Linked DNA regions of Elephas maximus indicus. The protein of the gene in region 1 interacts with the protein of each later gene in a biochemical or structural test. Links are inferred from orthologs where the notes say so. Each region holds a gene or a part of one and is shown on either strand. Other genes may lie near its edges.

Region 1 (7,553 bases):
CATCTTCAAGGTAATGATTTGGTTTCCTATTATTCTTTAAGAAAAGTGACCACTTAGTTATACAAATATACAAAGTCATGGATTTGAACATATTTAATGTTTATTAGGAGCCCCTGGGTGGCGCAAACGGTTAAGTGCTTGGCTACTAACCGAGAAGCTAGTAGTTCGAATCCACCTAGAGGTGCCTTGGAAGAAAGGACTGTTGACCGACTTCTGGAAGATCACCGTCATTGAACACCCTGTGGAGTACTCTGAAACACATGGGGTTGCCATAAGTTAGAATCAACTCAATGGCAACTGGTTTTGTTTTTCAATGTGTATTAAATTATCCTTATTATGCTCAAATTGTCCTATCTTTGGCCATGGGAACTTGGCTCCTGAGTCCTTTTGACATGACCATAATATTCTTTGCTGACTTCCCTGCTATCTGGTATATAAAAAAAAAAAAATCTTGTACATTTCCTGCCCCAGACCTGGAATCAAACATTTCTCCAAGAAAATCTGGTTTCTTCTGGTGGGAAATGGCATTTTAAGACCACAGTCTCAGTGCCAGAAGTGTTCATGGCTACTGGATTGATCATTGTTTCTAGACCTTTTCAGTGGACAAAGATAGGAAAATAAAACATATAAATAAAAGTATTAGTTCATGCTGATACTCCCTATTCAAACTCAAGGTTACAGGGTTTTAGCCTCTTCTCTATTACATCTGTAACTCCTGTCCTCCACACAAAATGCTCTGGTTCTTAGCAACACGGGACACGAGAGTATTAGAATATCTCATAATTACTCAATTGCCTTATAGTCAACACACTTTAAATTCCCAGATAAATTAGTACTTTCCCTCTTCCTCCTACACAGAGAATGCTACAAGAAGACCATGTAGACACATGCATGGGCATCAGTCAACTCAGAAAGCAAAACTTTCCCTTCATGTTGCCCATGTCCCAAAAGCCTTGTGCAGTCACCAGGCTGGGGACTGGCACGAGAGGGACTAGCCAGACAAAGAGAAATTCGTTTTTCTTCTCTCTTCTCCAGCCCAGCCCGCCCTCTAGTGGAGATGTTAATGAACAGGAAACAGCCCAAGGCAGGTCGAACAGGAAGTCAGCCTGCTGACATTTACTTAGCAATTACCTGAAAAACAAAATTAAAAACCAAAGCCACTGCCTTTGATTCAATTCTGACTCACAGGCATCCTATAGGACAGAGAAGAACAGCCCCATAGGGTTTCCAAGGCTGTAAATCTTTATGGAAACAGGCTGCCACATCTTTCTCCCAGGAGCGCTGGTGGATTTCAATCAGCGACCTTTTGGTTAGCAGCCAAGTGCTTTAACCACGGTGCCACCAAGGATCCTGCAATTAGCAGAACTGGTTCTAAAATAACATAGGATTTCATCTCTGGATCCTTTTGAAACTTGCCATGTTGCTTGGTGACAATTTGTATAAAGTGCTTTTCATTTGGGCAGCCTCTACTCTCCCCAACTACACTTAAAGCCACAGAGAAGTTTCAAAACCATGAGAGGGAAGGTGAACAGAGCTTATAAAAATTATCTTTTAATTACATATTAAGTAATTACAATTTTCTAAAGAAATGCCACTTTATTTCTCTCGATAGAACACATATAAAGGCCTTTACATTTGGAAAATTACAGGTCACAGTGACAAAACCAAGAGTTCATAAGCTTAAAAATCTTTTACATACAAAAATTAGTCAATGGATCCAAAGATGAAATCCTATGTTATTTAACATTTGATTTGATGTTAAAGAGGACTCATTTTGGTCATAAAACCCCAGCATTGTTTAAAAAAAATTTACTGTGACTTTAAAATATTTTACTCAATAATATACAAGTTCCATGTTACAATTTGAATTAACAAGATTTTATTCAGGTTTAAGCCGGATTAGTAAATAAGAAGCGGTAGAAAAACAATCAACAATTCATTATTAAGGAGGTGAGTTTAACAGATTTTTTTTTCTGACCCTCAGGTGCACAAATTATATTCCTAATCCTTTGTTCACAATACACCTTTGTCATTGGTTAATGTAAGGCCTTCTTCATTTTATTATTTGTTTAATGATAAAAGGAACCCGGATATTTTTAGACTTTATGCAAAATTGAAACCATTGTTTTTGCATCTACCAGGCGGCGTTGCCAGAAGTCCTCACCACCACTTTTTTTTTTTTTAACTTAACAACATAGTTTTTACAATAACCCATGGTATAAAAATAGAAGACTACAGTATGTTTTTAATGATGGCATGGTATTTTACTGTCTATACCATGTAGACCACAGGTTATTTAACTAATACCATGCTGTAGAGTATTTAGATCTATTTTGCTTCCAGTATTTCACTGTTATTAATAATTGCTATACTGAACATGGAAACCCTGGTGGCTAGTGTTTAAGGGCTATGGCTGCTAAACAAAAGGTCAGCAGTTTGAATCTACCAGGCGCTCCTTGGCAACTTTGGGGCAGTTCTACTCTGTCTTACAGGATCACTATGAGTTGGAATCGACTCCACACAACCGGTGTGTGGTGTTATGCTGAACATAAATCTTTATGCAGGTCTGGGCTCAAATTCTGGAAGTGGTGCTACTGGGTCAAAGTGCAAGGATGTGAGGGAGTCTGGCTGGTGGAGACACCCGCGTTCTCGCAGATAAGAAATTCTCCTGGGAAGGAGCTGAGGTGGAAACAAGCAAGGCGTTTGTGGACATATATACTCGACAGAAGTAACAAAAAATGAAGTTGGTATAAAACAGACAACCAGGGTTGAAAATCTGTATTTGAAACAATAAACAACAGTGAATCACTTGTAGGTTAAGGAATAAACACTACATTAAGAGGATACTTCCTGCAGATCAACGGAGGGAGAGAGGCATGAAGTAATGGAAATTCGACCTTGGGCGGTAACTGTGAAACAGTTTCAACTAATCAGCTGAAGAATCTACAGGTTAAAGAACCGAATTTAAAGGGCAAAGAGGAAGGAAAGATTATTTCTGAAAATGATTCCAGACTGTCCAGGCTGGAAAATCCAGAAACCATGGAATCCTAAGGTTATAGGGCACAGACAGTAAGTAATCTGGCAACAGGGGATGGGTGCCCTGCAGAATTGGCTACATAATTTGTGCGCCCCAGCACAAAATGAAAATGCAGGCGTTTGTTCAGAGTTAATATTAAGAATTTCAAGACAGCGACTGCAAAGCATTAAACCAAGCGTGGGGCACTTCTAAATAAAGAGCTCTGTAGGACTGCACAGATCGCATGCCCATACGGCCGGCGCTGGCCTAGTGGTCTAGGGACCAGGAGGTGTCGCCCGAAGGACAGAAAACACCCTCATCATCTTAGGGTAGGCGAGCCCCAGAAGACAGGCCCAAGGGAACTAAGGGCCCTCACTCCCCTCACTACCAAAGGGCGCTCTGGGCGGATGAAAGCTCGCGCACGCCTAAGGGAGTGCAGGGAGTGCAGCACCGACCCAGACCTTTGCGCTGGGCACAACGAGGTCACTGTCCCTCCCTTCCCCAACAGAGCCCGGGCAAGGATCCCGAGACGTGGCAAGTCCCGGCCTTGGACTCAGCTCAGTTACTCATAAACCCGGATAAGAGGATGGGAGGCGGCGGTCGTGCACATCCTGGACCTGAGTCCAGGGGCGGGAGGCCCCACGAGGACACACAACCTAGGCAATCCGTGCAGTGAGGTGCCTAAGGGGCAACTAAAGGAACCCACGGGAAGCGGAAAGGCTCATAGAGGCCAACAGGTGCTTTAGGGGGAGTCTGCAAAGACCGCGGGGAGGGGCCAGGGATCACCTAAAAAGATGAGGGAGCGGCTAGGGGTCGTCTACAAAGGGCCATCCCCACGACAACGAGGCTTCCGGAAGCTAAACCCTGGAGGGAGAGTGTGGAGGCCTGGGGTCCACATCTGTGACGTGAAGACACCCCAAACGCGCTGGGATATGGAGTTCGTGCTTCGGAAAGAGCCGACTGAAGCCAGCGAAAAAAGAACGGCTCAAGCAGGGGAAGTTTCGGGATTGCCTGAAAAGTGCGAAGCGATAGGAACTTCAGGAACCGGCAGCAAGTTGTATCCCTTGCTAAGGTGTCTCGGTAGCGAATCACCAACCGGTTCTTTTGTAAGCCCCGCCTCTATGCCATTAAGTCCCGTTCCGTTGTCCCCGATCCAGGAAGCAGCCGGTTCCCCCCATACTACCTCCTCCCAACAGGAGTAAACGCCCCTCCTCTATCCTGCGCTTTCTTCTCCCCTCAGCCCCCTGGCGCAATGGTTAAGAGCTCAGCTGCTAACCAAAAGGTCGGCAGTTCGAATCCACCAGTCGCTCCTTGGAAACCCTATGGGACAGTTTTACTGTCCTACAGGGTCGCTATGAGTCGGAATAGACTCGACTGCATCGGCTTTTTTTTTAAGCCCTCTCAAGCTCTTTCTCCCGCCCACCTGCCAATCACCATGCTGCACTGGCCAGTTAGCGGGCCGGGGGGGCGGGACCACTAGGAGCGTCGCATGACGTAGGCGCTCCGCCGGCCGGGAAGCCGGGCGTTGCGTGACGAAGAGGCGCGTGACGGAGGAGCGGTTGGCGATGATATAGCGGCAGTCGGTGTAAACAAGGCCTCGGGCAGCTGCGTCCTGCGACCGTTCCTGGCTGGTGGGTGGTCTAGCGCGGACCGTAACCTCTGGCTCCAGCGGCTGGTGCTTCCCGGCGTCCTCCTGCCTCCTCTTTGATGTACGCACCCCCGGCACCCCACGTGGGCGTGAGGCAGAGGAAGGTGGGCGGTCGGCCGAATTCTAACCTCATTGGCTGTCACTGCTGCCTTCTTTCGCAAGAGACCGCTCTGATTGGTCGGTATGGGGGGCGTCGGAGGTCTCTGAGTCCTAAAGCTTCTGATTGGCTAGATGAGATAAGCTAGTGCGGCACTTTCTTCCGCGAGGGGTTTTTATTGGACAGCCGGAGTGGTTACCTGAGACTTCACTTCCCCCAGGGACTTTGATAGGTGAGTTTGGGGTAGAAAACTGAGAAATTCTTCAAATTATTTTCATTGGTGAGTTAGGGTAGCGCCTTAGCCTTTACTCTGCATTCTTTGCTTCACAAGATTGGGAAAGATTTGTGTTCCTGAAGGCTTGGGAGTTGTCACTTGCTAAAGAGAAGGGATCTGAGTTCCTAGGAAGGGTCATTCTCCTAGAAATAGTTACCGCCCGATCTCAGGAGATCCTGATATTTCTAGAGCAAGCTTTGCTTCACTAAACCCAAGGAGTTGACAGGAAGAGCCCCTGCACAGGTCCTAAGGATGCTGTGAGCAGAAGATGGGATCACGGAACAGCAGCAGTGCAGGATCCGGGTCCGGAGACCCCTCTGAGGGCTTGCCCCGAAGAGGGGCTGGCCTTCGACTGAGTGAGGAAGAGGAAGAGGAGGATGAAGATGTGGATCTGGCCCAGGTACTGGCCTATCTCCTCCGCAGGTAACTTACTTTCTAGTGTGTCCCCAACAGGCACCACCACAGTTCCTTGATCCCACCTCTCAGGCAGGAAAGTTACAGAGGAGAGGGAACAGGGTTGGCCCAGGGCAGCTGTTCTGTGTGAGCAGAACAGCCTTTCCCTGCTAGGCACCCGTGGCACTCAGCTCCATACCCAGTAAGAGTGGTTACCTTGCCTAGGGAGGGCCACCGAGAGGACCCACTCTTGTGTTTGAGGGGGCTGGTCAGGGCAGCCTTTCTGGCTATGACTACACAAATTTAATCTGTTTTCTAAGTAAGTAGAAAAAAAAAAAAAAGGGCCCTGGTGGGAAAGGAGTGAAGTGGGGGGTGAGGACAAGAGTTGGGAAGGGGGGAGTTGAACTTTAGCAAAGCCATTGTTATGTGATAGGAGGCCATGTGGGTGTACTTGAAAAAACAGGTTTAAATTGACCTACCGCTAATCCTGTTCTTGAGAAAGAATGACTTGAAGAGAGTGATCACAAAGAATTGACAGGAAAGGGGTGCTTTTGGCTTCTGGGGATAAGATGAACTTGGGGATCCCTTCAGACTGCTGAGTTCTATACTGAATTTCTCAGGCAGAGGCTCAGAAGGAAATGCTCTCAGAATTCTTAGCTCTTTGGGAAGTCAGCTTAGTTAGATCCGTCAACCTCCAGGGCATGAAGTGGTTCTCTCTTCCTGCTCCAAGAGTGAGAATCTGTTTCCTACTGTGTCCTGTATGAACCAAAAGACCAAACCTGTTGCCCTCAAGTCGATTCTGACTCATAGTAATCCTATAGGACAGAGAAGAACTACTCCATAGAGTTCCCAAGGAGCAGCTGGTGGATTTGAACTGCCATCCTTTTGATTAGCAGCTGAGCTGTTTACCACTGTGCTACCAGGGCTCCCTGTGTCCTATTAAAAAAAAAAAACCAAACCCATTGCCATCAAGTCAATTCCAACTCATAGAGACCCTACAGGAAGGAGTAGAACTGCCCTATAGTTTCCAAGGAGCGCCTGGTGGATTCAAACTGCCCACCTTTTGGTTAGCAGCCATAGCCCTTGACCACTATGCCACCAGGGTTTCCCTGTGTCCTATAGAAGACTGAAAATAACAGTCTAGTTAGCCTCAAACTCTCAAAATGGGGACAGTATGAGGGCTTGAGTATCAGGTGGTCTAAGAACTGGATAGCCACTGACCCTGAATTTGGTTGGTTTGGGGGAAGGGGTTCCCCCCTTTATCATGGGGGTTCTCTCAACAGAGGCCAAGTGAGGTTGGTGCAGGGCGGAGGTGCAGCAAATTTGCAACTCATCCAGGCCCTCTCTGACTCAGAGGAAGAGCATGACAGTGCCTGGGATGGTCGCCTGGGGGACCGATACAACCCACCTGGTAAGAAGGAAAGCAGACCAAGACCCTAAAGTTGGAAGACTAATTAGAAAACAGTTTTTGTTGTTGTTTTGGTGAAGAACCATGGGTTAAGATGAAAGAAGAAAAAAATGAGATAATTCAGGGAATGAGGGAGTCCTTACAGCTCCAGTATATTCAGCCAGCCACTTTGAGTGAGCCCCATCTTCTTACATTTTGGGTATGGTTATGGTAAGTGTCCTCTGGGGCTAGGAGACCTAGGATGAAACTTCTCCTTGGTACTCACAGTGGACGCAACCCCTGACACCCGAGAGCTGGAACGCAATGAGATCAAGACACAAGTGGAATTGGCCACAGGTCGTCTGGGTCTCAGGCAGGCAGCCCAGAAGTACAGCTTTCCTCGAATGCTGCACCAGGTAGGCCTTTCCACCTCTAGCCTGACTGCAAGAGGCCTGCTGAGATAGCCAGAAGCTCTGCTAGCCACAGAGAGGAGGGAAGTAAACTTTCCAAGAAAGACTCAAATACTTGAGCTGGGGAATTCTTGGCCAGCTGCATCAGAGTTTTGTGGGGCAGACTTCTGTGTGTGGAATCTATGTCTGTAGCAAGAGCAGTATCTTTGGAGGAGGGAACTTGGTATGGCTGAAGGGGTCCTCTGTTTCTGCTAGCAGTATTCCCCAATCCCTTCCATTTAGAGAGAACGGGGCCTCTGCCACCGGGGAAGCTTCTCCCTTGGAGAAC
Region 2 (7,736 bases), on another chromosome or scaffold:
AGACAGTGCAGGACCTGACAGTGTTTCATTCTGTTGGACGTGGAAGTGCTGTGAACGAGAGCCAATTCGACGGCAACAACAGGTGTATGAATAATTTCAAATACAAGAATCAGCACGAAGCCAATTCCTGTGAGGCGGAGGCCAAGTATATCCCAGATTTCCACATTCTCCAAGCCACTGTGCCACTCCTCTCACACTGGCCTCTGTCCCTCCCCTCAGCACTCTTCCCGCCCCCACCCCATTTGGATTTGGCAATTCGCAGCAATGTTCACAGGACTCACAACTATATTTACAGTTAAGTGGTTTGTTAAGGAACAGGGTACGTCTTGGGATCAGGCTCAACAGGCTGCAACTCAGGATCAGGACCAGGAAACTAGGCAGTCTCCCTTCTTCAGTGCAGGACAGCTCTCAGCCCCTCAGCCCTGAAGGGCTCCTCTCGGCCCTGCCATCTGTCACCACTGACTCTGCTGCTGGGTCCCTTCCGGGCCAGTCGCTGTCTTCAGTGTTACAGCCATGTTACAGCCAGGGCTCCGAACCGGTTTGTTTGGATTGAACCCCTGGTGAGGATCTGCATTTCTAACTAGTTTCCAGGTGATGCCAATGCTGTTGGTTTGGGACCAATTCTCAGAACCACTAGTAGAGCAGTGGTTCTCAAAATTTATTACACATATGAATCACCAGGGATCTTGTTAAAACGTAGATCCTAATTCAGCATATCTGGGGCGGAATGCAAATTCTCAGCAGGGGTTCGAACAGGAAAGAGCCGGTTTGAAGCTCTGGTTACAGCTCTTTTAGGTCTCTTGCCTCCTTTCTGCTTCTCTCTTGCCTTTTCTCCTGTCTGCTACTACTTTATTGTGCTTTAGGTGAAAGTTTACAGATCAAATTAATTTCTCATTCAAAAATTTATACACAAATTGTTTTGTGACATTTCTTGGAATCCTCACATGTCAGCACACTCCCCTGTCCCAACCCGGATTCCCCATTTCCATTCATCCAGTTTTCCTGTCCCCTCCTGCCTTCTCAGCTTTGCTTTTGGGCAACTGTTGCCCATTTGGTCTCATACTATTGATTGATCTAAGACGCACATTCCTCATGTGTTATCGTTTGTTTTATAGGTCTGTCTAATCTTTTTCTGAAACGTGAACTTCGGGAGTGGCTTCAGTCCTTTCTGCTTCTGTCTCTTGTCTTTATGATGCTTTCTGTCTGAAAAATCTCTGAGGGGCTGGCTCTCTTTTTTTCTACACACACACACACAACCCCTTGTCAATTTCAACCCATGGCCCCTCCCAGTGGGGGGAGGGCAAACCGACCAATTCTCTCAATAGGCCCCAGACACTTCATTTGCATAGTAGGCTATAGTTACCCAATTTGCATACTTCATAGTCACTTAATTTGTGTAGGTATATTAACCAATCTCTGCAAAGTGCATACCAATCACAGGGCAGGCTGCAGCCCAGGGCTCGAAAAAAAGTCAAGTTGTTTAGGATTACTCAGGAAATGTCAGTCAACCTGCACAAAAGTAATAAACCCTCTGGGGTAGAAAACTAGGGCAAAGGTAACTCCTCAGGGTTTAGGGGAAAAGTCTCTGGAGTTGTTTTTCCAAAGAACCAAGGCAAAAGGCCACGTAAAGAGACCCATTTCACCACACAGTTGAGAAGGAAGTTATGTCGGGCCTTCAGAAAACCCATGGAAATATCGAAATGGCTTGGACAGGGTAAATCATGGGGTAAATGATCAAAGCTCCCAGAAATAAGGTTGATGGCTCAGAGGAAGCAGGGAGGGAAGCAAGTGGTATTGGTTGGGATGAGTTGCCCCTGTGTCAATGAGAAATGTGGTGGGATGCCCTTCAACTTGTAATTTCTCCTTGGGAGTTGAGTGGTAACGGAGGGCATTCGATAATTACTTCCCTTGAGGGGAGTTGATAGCCCTCTTGAGAGTTTTGAGTCTTTCCTCTTTAATGGCTGCACAGTCTTGAGCTCAGTGGCCTTTTTCTTTGCAATAGCAATAAGTATCCCAATCAATAGGAGTCCGCCTCTTAGGAGCTTGTCTCGTCATAATTTTCAGGCTTTTTTAATTGTAAGCCCATGAGTTTGTGTTGTGTGTTTTCTGTTTTCTTGGAGATACTCTCTCATAATGTTGGGCTAGAGTTTGAAGTTCAGTTATCTCTGCATTTTGCCAGTTATTTTTGGGTAATGTGTCATGAAGCTCTGGTTTAAGGCTGTTGACAAAGCTTGTGGCCAGAGCAGAGGCTGTCTGGGTATTTAGTTCAAGCCCTGAGTAACTTCTAATTGGTGGTGACAATTTACCAGTTTCATCTTTTTGCTGTCTGCAATTTTGAGCACACAACGAATCAATTTTAATAAGAATAGCCTCCGGTATTGACTGAATTGTGTCCCCCCAAAATATGTGCTGAAGTCCTTACCTCTGTAACAGTAGATGTAATCCCATTTGAGAATAGGGTTTTCTTTTCTATATTAATCAGACCATATCAGGGTGTGTCCTAAGCCGAACCACTTCTGAGTGATATAGATAGCAGTATGTTAAAAGTTAGGCTGCTAACCAAAAGGTCAGCAGTTCAAATCCACCAGGTGCTCCTTGGAAACCCTATGGGGCAGTTCTACTCTGTCCTATAGGGTTGCTGAGTCAGACTCGCCAGCAACGGTGTATAGACACAGGAGATTTGGTGGCCTAGTGGTTAAGAACTCGGCTGTTAACCTAAAGGTTGATGGTTCGAACTTACCAGCTGCTCTGTGGGAGAAAGATGTGGCAGTCTGCTTCTGTAAAGATTTACAGCCTTGGAAACCCTACAGGGCGGTTCTCTGTCCTATAGGGTCGCTGAGTTGACTCAATGGCAACAGGCTTTTGGAGACATAGAGCCCTAGTGGTACAATTGTTAAGCATTTGGCTGCTAACCAAAAGATCAGTGGTTCAAAACCAACAGCCATTCTGTGGGACAAAGATATGGCACTCTGTTTTCAAAAAGATTACAGCCTTCAAAACCCTGTGGGGCAGTTCTACCTTGTCCCATAGGGTCACTCACCATGAGTCAGAATTGACTCGATGGGAGTGGGTTTAGTTTGCCCTTTTTTTTTTTTTTCTAACCTTTATGGGAGCAGACTGCCACATCTGTTTCCCTCAGAGCAGCTGGTGGGTTTGAACCCGACACCTTTAGGTTAGCGGCCAAGCGCTTAACCACTGTGCCACCAGGGCTCCTTAAGTCTACCTTTACTGTGCTACAAAGGACTAGTGTTCAGGGCACTGGATCGGTGGTGGTTCCAATCCAGACCCAGGTCACAGCCCAGTAAAGGGCCAAAGAAAAGCAGCGGACAGTAGTTAAAATGGCAGGATAGACTTTACTCAGGCTGCAGCAGGGGACAGAAACCAGCAGCTAGTCTCAGCTCTGATTAGTACGAAGGCAGCTAGAGCTTTTAAGGGGCACGAGAGGGAAGAGAACCTGAGAAACTACTGGGAGAAGAGGGAAGGTGCATGGAAAATTACAGCGAGGGGGTCTGGCAGTGGTTCAGGCTGAGCTGGGTAGTTGTGACAGTTCACACCATCTAGCACAGCACGCGGCCAGGGGGCTGCCCAGGAGCAGGGCCTAGCACTGGCCGACGTCTGCACTAAAGCTTGGGCAAGGTTCTGGGGTAAGTCTGTGGAAGCACGTGGGCGAAGCAGGCATCTCTTGCAGGGGTTCGCAGGGGGAAGGAGGCCCCACAGTACTGGGCGGGAGGTCGGAGGCTCCCTTGCCTAGAGAGGCCGTGGGGCGGGGGGGGGTTTGGCGCGGCGGGAGTCCCGCGCCCCAGCTTCATTCTCACACCCCACATCCTCCTCCGTGCACCCGACCATCCCTGGGGCCCTCCTCGCTCAGGGTCTCCGCTTCCCTCGGGGCTCGGCTGCACCCTCCCCCTCGGAGAGGCCTGGCCTGATCCCTTCCGACCCGACGGCCCAGGGCGGCTGCTGCCGGGGCGAAGGCAGGTGCAGGTCTCGGGCACATCCCAGCCCCTCTTGCCTCACCCGGAAGGAATTCGCAGTCTGGGAGACCCCCGTCCAAACGGGCGGGAACCACGCGCCTTGGGGCCCGACGGCGGCTACAGCCCCAGCAGCTCCCCGGGTTATCACGCCGCGGGGCCGGGAGGACCAAACGCCCCAGACGCGCCTTCCGGGTTCCAGGTTTCCCGCCAGCGAGAAGGCTCGCCCCCACCTGGGACAGGCCAATGGGAGACTAGCCTCGAGCAAGCGCGACCTATCGGAGGCGCGCCCCACCGGGCCGAGACCAATCGAAGACGCTCCCTCTGACCCCTGCGCCGCGCGCGTCTGAATCTCCCGCCAATACCCCCCTCCTCCCGCGAAGGCGCAGCCAATCAGCTTCCGAGGGGCCAGCGGCGGCCCGGCTGCCTCAATACTCGAGGGGAGCAACTTTTCCCTCGGATCTCATGCAGACGAGGGCGTCGACCCGCCTCCTCAGACGGCGGCGACCGGAGTTAATGGTTTTGGTCGTCCGGGGTCCTGGACACTCAGCCCAAGCCTAGGCAGCCTCCGAGGCGCGCGCCGCTGACCTGGGCTCCCCCCGTCGCCGTGGACCCGATGGTTGCGCCCCGCCCGGCGCGCGCGGGAGCTCCGAGGGGCGGGGCCGGGGCCGCATAAAGGCGGTTGGGGGCGGGGCGCGCGCTCAGTCTGTCAGCGCCGGCGCGGGAACGGGTGTCGCTCTCCGGCCGCTGCTTCGCCGCCTTCGCCGCCACAGCTCGCGTTCCTGCGTCGCGGCCCCGCGGCCCCGCGCGCCTCCCCGCCCTCCGCGGCCCTCCGCCGCTGCGCTCGCCATGGCCTGCCGGCCGCGAAGCCCTCCCCGGTACGGCGACGCCAGGTGAGGCCGGGCGGAACGCCTGCGAGTCCCCGGGGCGGGCCGGGCCGGAAGCGGGCGGGCGGGCGGGCGGGCGGGCGCCCTCGGGCGGCCGGGCCCGGGGTGGGGGAGGCCGGGAGAGGCCCGCGCCGGCCGCTGACCGACTGCGGTCTCTTTGTGCGCAGCCCGCACTCGGCAGCCAGATGGTCCTTGGGGCGGAAGCGCAGAGCCGACGGGAAGCGCAGGAAGCCCGAGGACTGCGACCCCTCCGCGTCCCCCGACGCCCACGAGCGCAGGCGCGCGGACCACAGACTGGACAGGTGCGGGCCCGCCGGGACGCCCTCGGGCCCCGGGGTTCTCTCGGGGGGCTTCTTTCAGACGGGCGGCCGCGGAGTGAGTTCCGACTCCCGGCGGCCCCGGGGGTGCCCGTGGCCCCGCTCGTGCCCGTGGCCCCGCTCCGTGGGGTTTTCCTGCCTGGCCTCCCTGGAGAGATAAATCACCAGGCTTTTTTTCCACTGCACCGTGGGGTGGGCTGGTCGTCGGACGCAAACCGTTGGAGCCACCCACGGATCCAGTGGGATTTTCTCCTTGGTGGAGGCGGCGCTAGATGGACTTTGGTGGGACTACGGAAGGGGCTTGTGGTCTTTGGAAGTGGTGTCTCAGGCACATAGACGCCTTTGCTTCTGCTCCGCTTGTTAAAAGATGGAAAGATAACACCTCGTAGATGCAGTTTGTGGGTGACTTTCTGCCTGAGGAGGTCTTGTGTGAATGGAATGACCCACAGAGGGAGGTGGAGTTTGCTGGCTGCCTTCTTGACTAGTTAAGGCACTTAAAACACAACGTGACTTTGGAGTATTAGGCTGTTTGAGGCATTTCTCGGTGACAAATGTAAACAAAGCTTGGCTCACTCTAAGTCAGTTATTGAGCTCTTTGGGGTTCTAGGTAAAGTCCCTGGTGACACAAACAGCTTGCACTTGGCAACTGACATAGAGATCGGTGGCTTGAATCCACCCAGTGGCACCGCAGAAGGAAGGATCGGCAATCTGCTTACATAAAGATCACAGCTGAGAAAACACTGGAGCTCAGTTCTAGTCTTTTAATGTGTGGGGTTGCCACGAGTCAGAATCGACTGAACGGCAGTGGGTTCGGGTGGTTGTTTTTGGTGCTGAGTGACTCCCACCTTTGCATCGCTCTGGCAGTGAGCCCATCCCACAGTTCCCCACTGCTCTTTGTTAATCACCGCCGAGGTTTTACAGCAGCTCATTCCTTTAGCGCCCCGCTCACTGAAGTTCACGCTCCTGAGGGCAGGCTGTGCTCCCTTCAGTCTTCCCAGCTCCTGGCCCAGGAAGTGCTGGTGGATGAAATGATGAGGGGGGAGTGTTGCCAGTCAAGTGTGACACCTTGATCCCTGAAGGGGGATAACCAGGAGGTAACATGCTGCAACCAGAAGAGTTGTGGGCTGATAGATGGCATTAGCTTGAAAAGAGGAAGAATGACCTGGAAGTGGGAATGAGGGTAGCGACCCTCAGACTAGGCCCTGCTGTGGTGGTGGGTGTGGAAGAGAACCACTGCTCCTCGCCGAGTGGCGTGCTGGGGGTTCCCTGGTGGTGCTAGCACACAGCTGTCTCGTGGTACAGCAAGACCCTGAGTACTGCTGCTGACTCAAGTTGGGAAGCAGCAGCAGCCCTGATCAGGTGAGGCAAGGTGGAGCAGCCGTTTGTAGTGAGATGAGCTCCACGTGTAAGATAGGCTTTGGTTGACCCGTTGAGTACTCTCCCCAGAAGTAGCCTTGTCAGATAAAGCAGATCAGTGAGCTGTGAATAGCGCTGTCTGTCATACTCCCAAAGGATGTTCTGAGCAGTTAGTAAGTTCCTGTGTTGAAACGTTCCAGTTCAGGAACCTCACTTGGGAGCCCCAGATTGAACCTGTTGGTGGACTGAGTGGGATGTTTATGTCCAGCCCAGGACAAGCCTTCATTTGGTTCCAGGCTCTTACTTCCTGTCTAATTATTGAGTTACTGCAACTTTGTTAATAAGTTCATTTTGGTTTCAGATCTTTCAAACCCTTTTTTTGATCTGGAAACTGACTTTTGGGGATCCAGTTTGAGTTTCTCTGGGGGTGTGATTATAAGGGAAGAAGTAACGATTACATAGAAGCAGTGTCTAGTTTTACACCAGTGGTGGCCAGGGGAAATGGGACAGAAAAGTACAAATCTAACTATAAATTAAGTTTATAAACAACCATGCCGGATTTCTTGGCATTGAAGCATTTAAGTTTTCACATTGCCTGATCTTGACTAAAGATTTCTTTGAGCACAAGGTAGAACTGGGTCCTGGATTAGGTTTAACCCTACTCTAAAACCAAACCGAACCCATTGCCATTGAGTTGATTCTGACTCATAGCAACTCTATAGGACAGAACTGCCCCAGAGGATTTCCAGGGCTATGATCTTTATAGAAGGAGACTGCCACATCTTTTTCCTGTGGAGTGACTGGTGGGTTCCAACTGCTGACCTTTCAATTAGCAACTGAGTGCTTAACCACTGCCATTGGGACTCCTTAACCCAACCCTAGGTGGTACCTTTAAGAAGCCCTGGTGGCGCAGTGGCTGAGCACTCGGCTGCTAACTGAAAGGTCAGTTGTTCCAGCCTACCTGCTGGCTCCACAGAAAAAAAGACCTGGCAGTCTGCCGTGAAGATTACAGCCTGGGAAACCCTGTGGGACAGGTCTTCTCTGCTCTGTAGGGTTGCTGTGAGTTGAAATTGACTGGATGGCACCTACCAACAACAAACAACAGGCAGTACTGTAACAGTCGACTAAGTCCTAATGTGTCAAAGGCTCCGGCATCTGTACTTATCTCCTGTGCTCTCATTGCAGTGTAGTACGTTCTGCATGTCAGC

The links. The genes of interacting proteins can lie anywhere in the genome.
Region 2: the proteins of DCAF11 (region 1) and SLBP form a complex in vitro, tested with the Homo sapiens proteins (2 studies listed by BioGRID, with this or other methods). The link is inferred for Elephas maximus indicus from reciprocal best matches to the Homo sapiens genes DCAF11 and SLBP.

What each region holds. Positions count from the first base shown.
Region 1 is NC_064828.1:35,475,866-35,483,418, forward strand, and holds the start of DCAF11 (DDB1- and CUL4-associated factor 11), read left to right. Parts: upstream 1-4,503; 5' UTR 4,504-4,647; exon of another isoform or gene 4,648-4,993; intron 4,994-5,224; exon of another isoform or gene 5,225-5,278; 5' UTR 5,279-5,303; coding exon 5,304-5,458; intron 5,459-6,711; coding exon 6,712-6,839; intron 6,840-7,103; coding exon 7,104-7,231; intron 7,232-7,507; coding exon 7,508-7,553. UniProt on the Homo sapiens protein: May function as a substrate receptor for CUL4-DDB1 E3 ubiquitin-protein ligase complex.
Region 2 is NC_064823.1:160,014,637-160,022,372, reverse strand, and holds the start of SLBP (histone RNA hairpin-binding protein), read left to right. Parts: upstream 1-4,686; 5' UTR 4,687-4,817; coding exon 4,818-4,861; intron 4,862-5,022; coding exon 5,023-5,157; intron 5,158-7,736. UniProt on the Homo sapiens protein: RNA-binding protein involved in the histone pre-mRNA processing.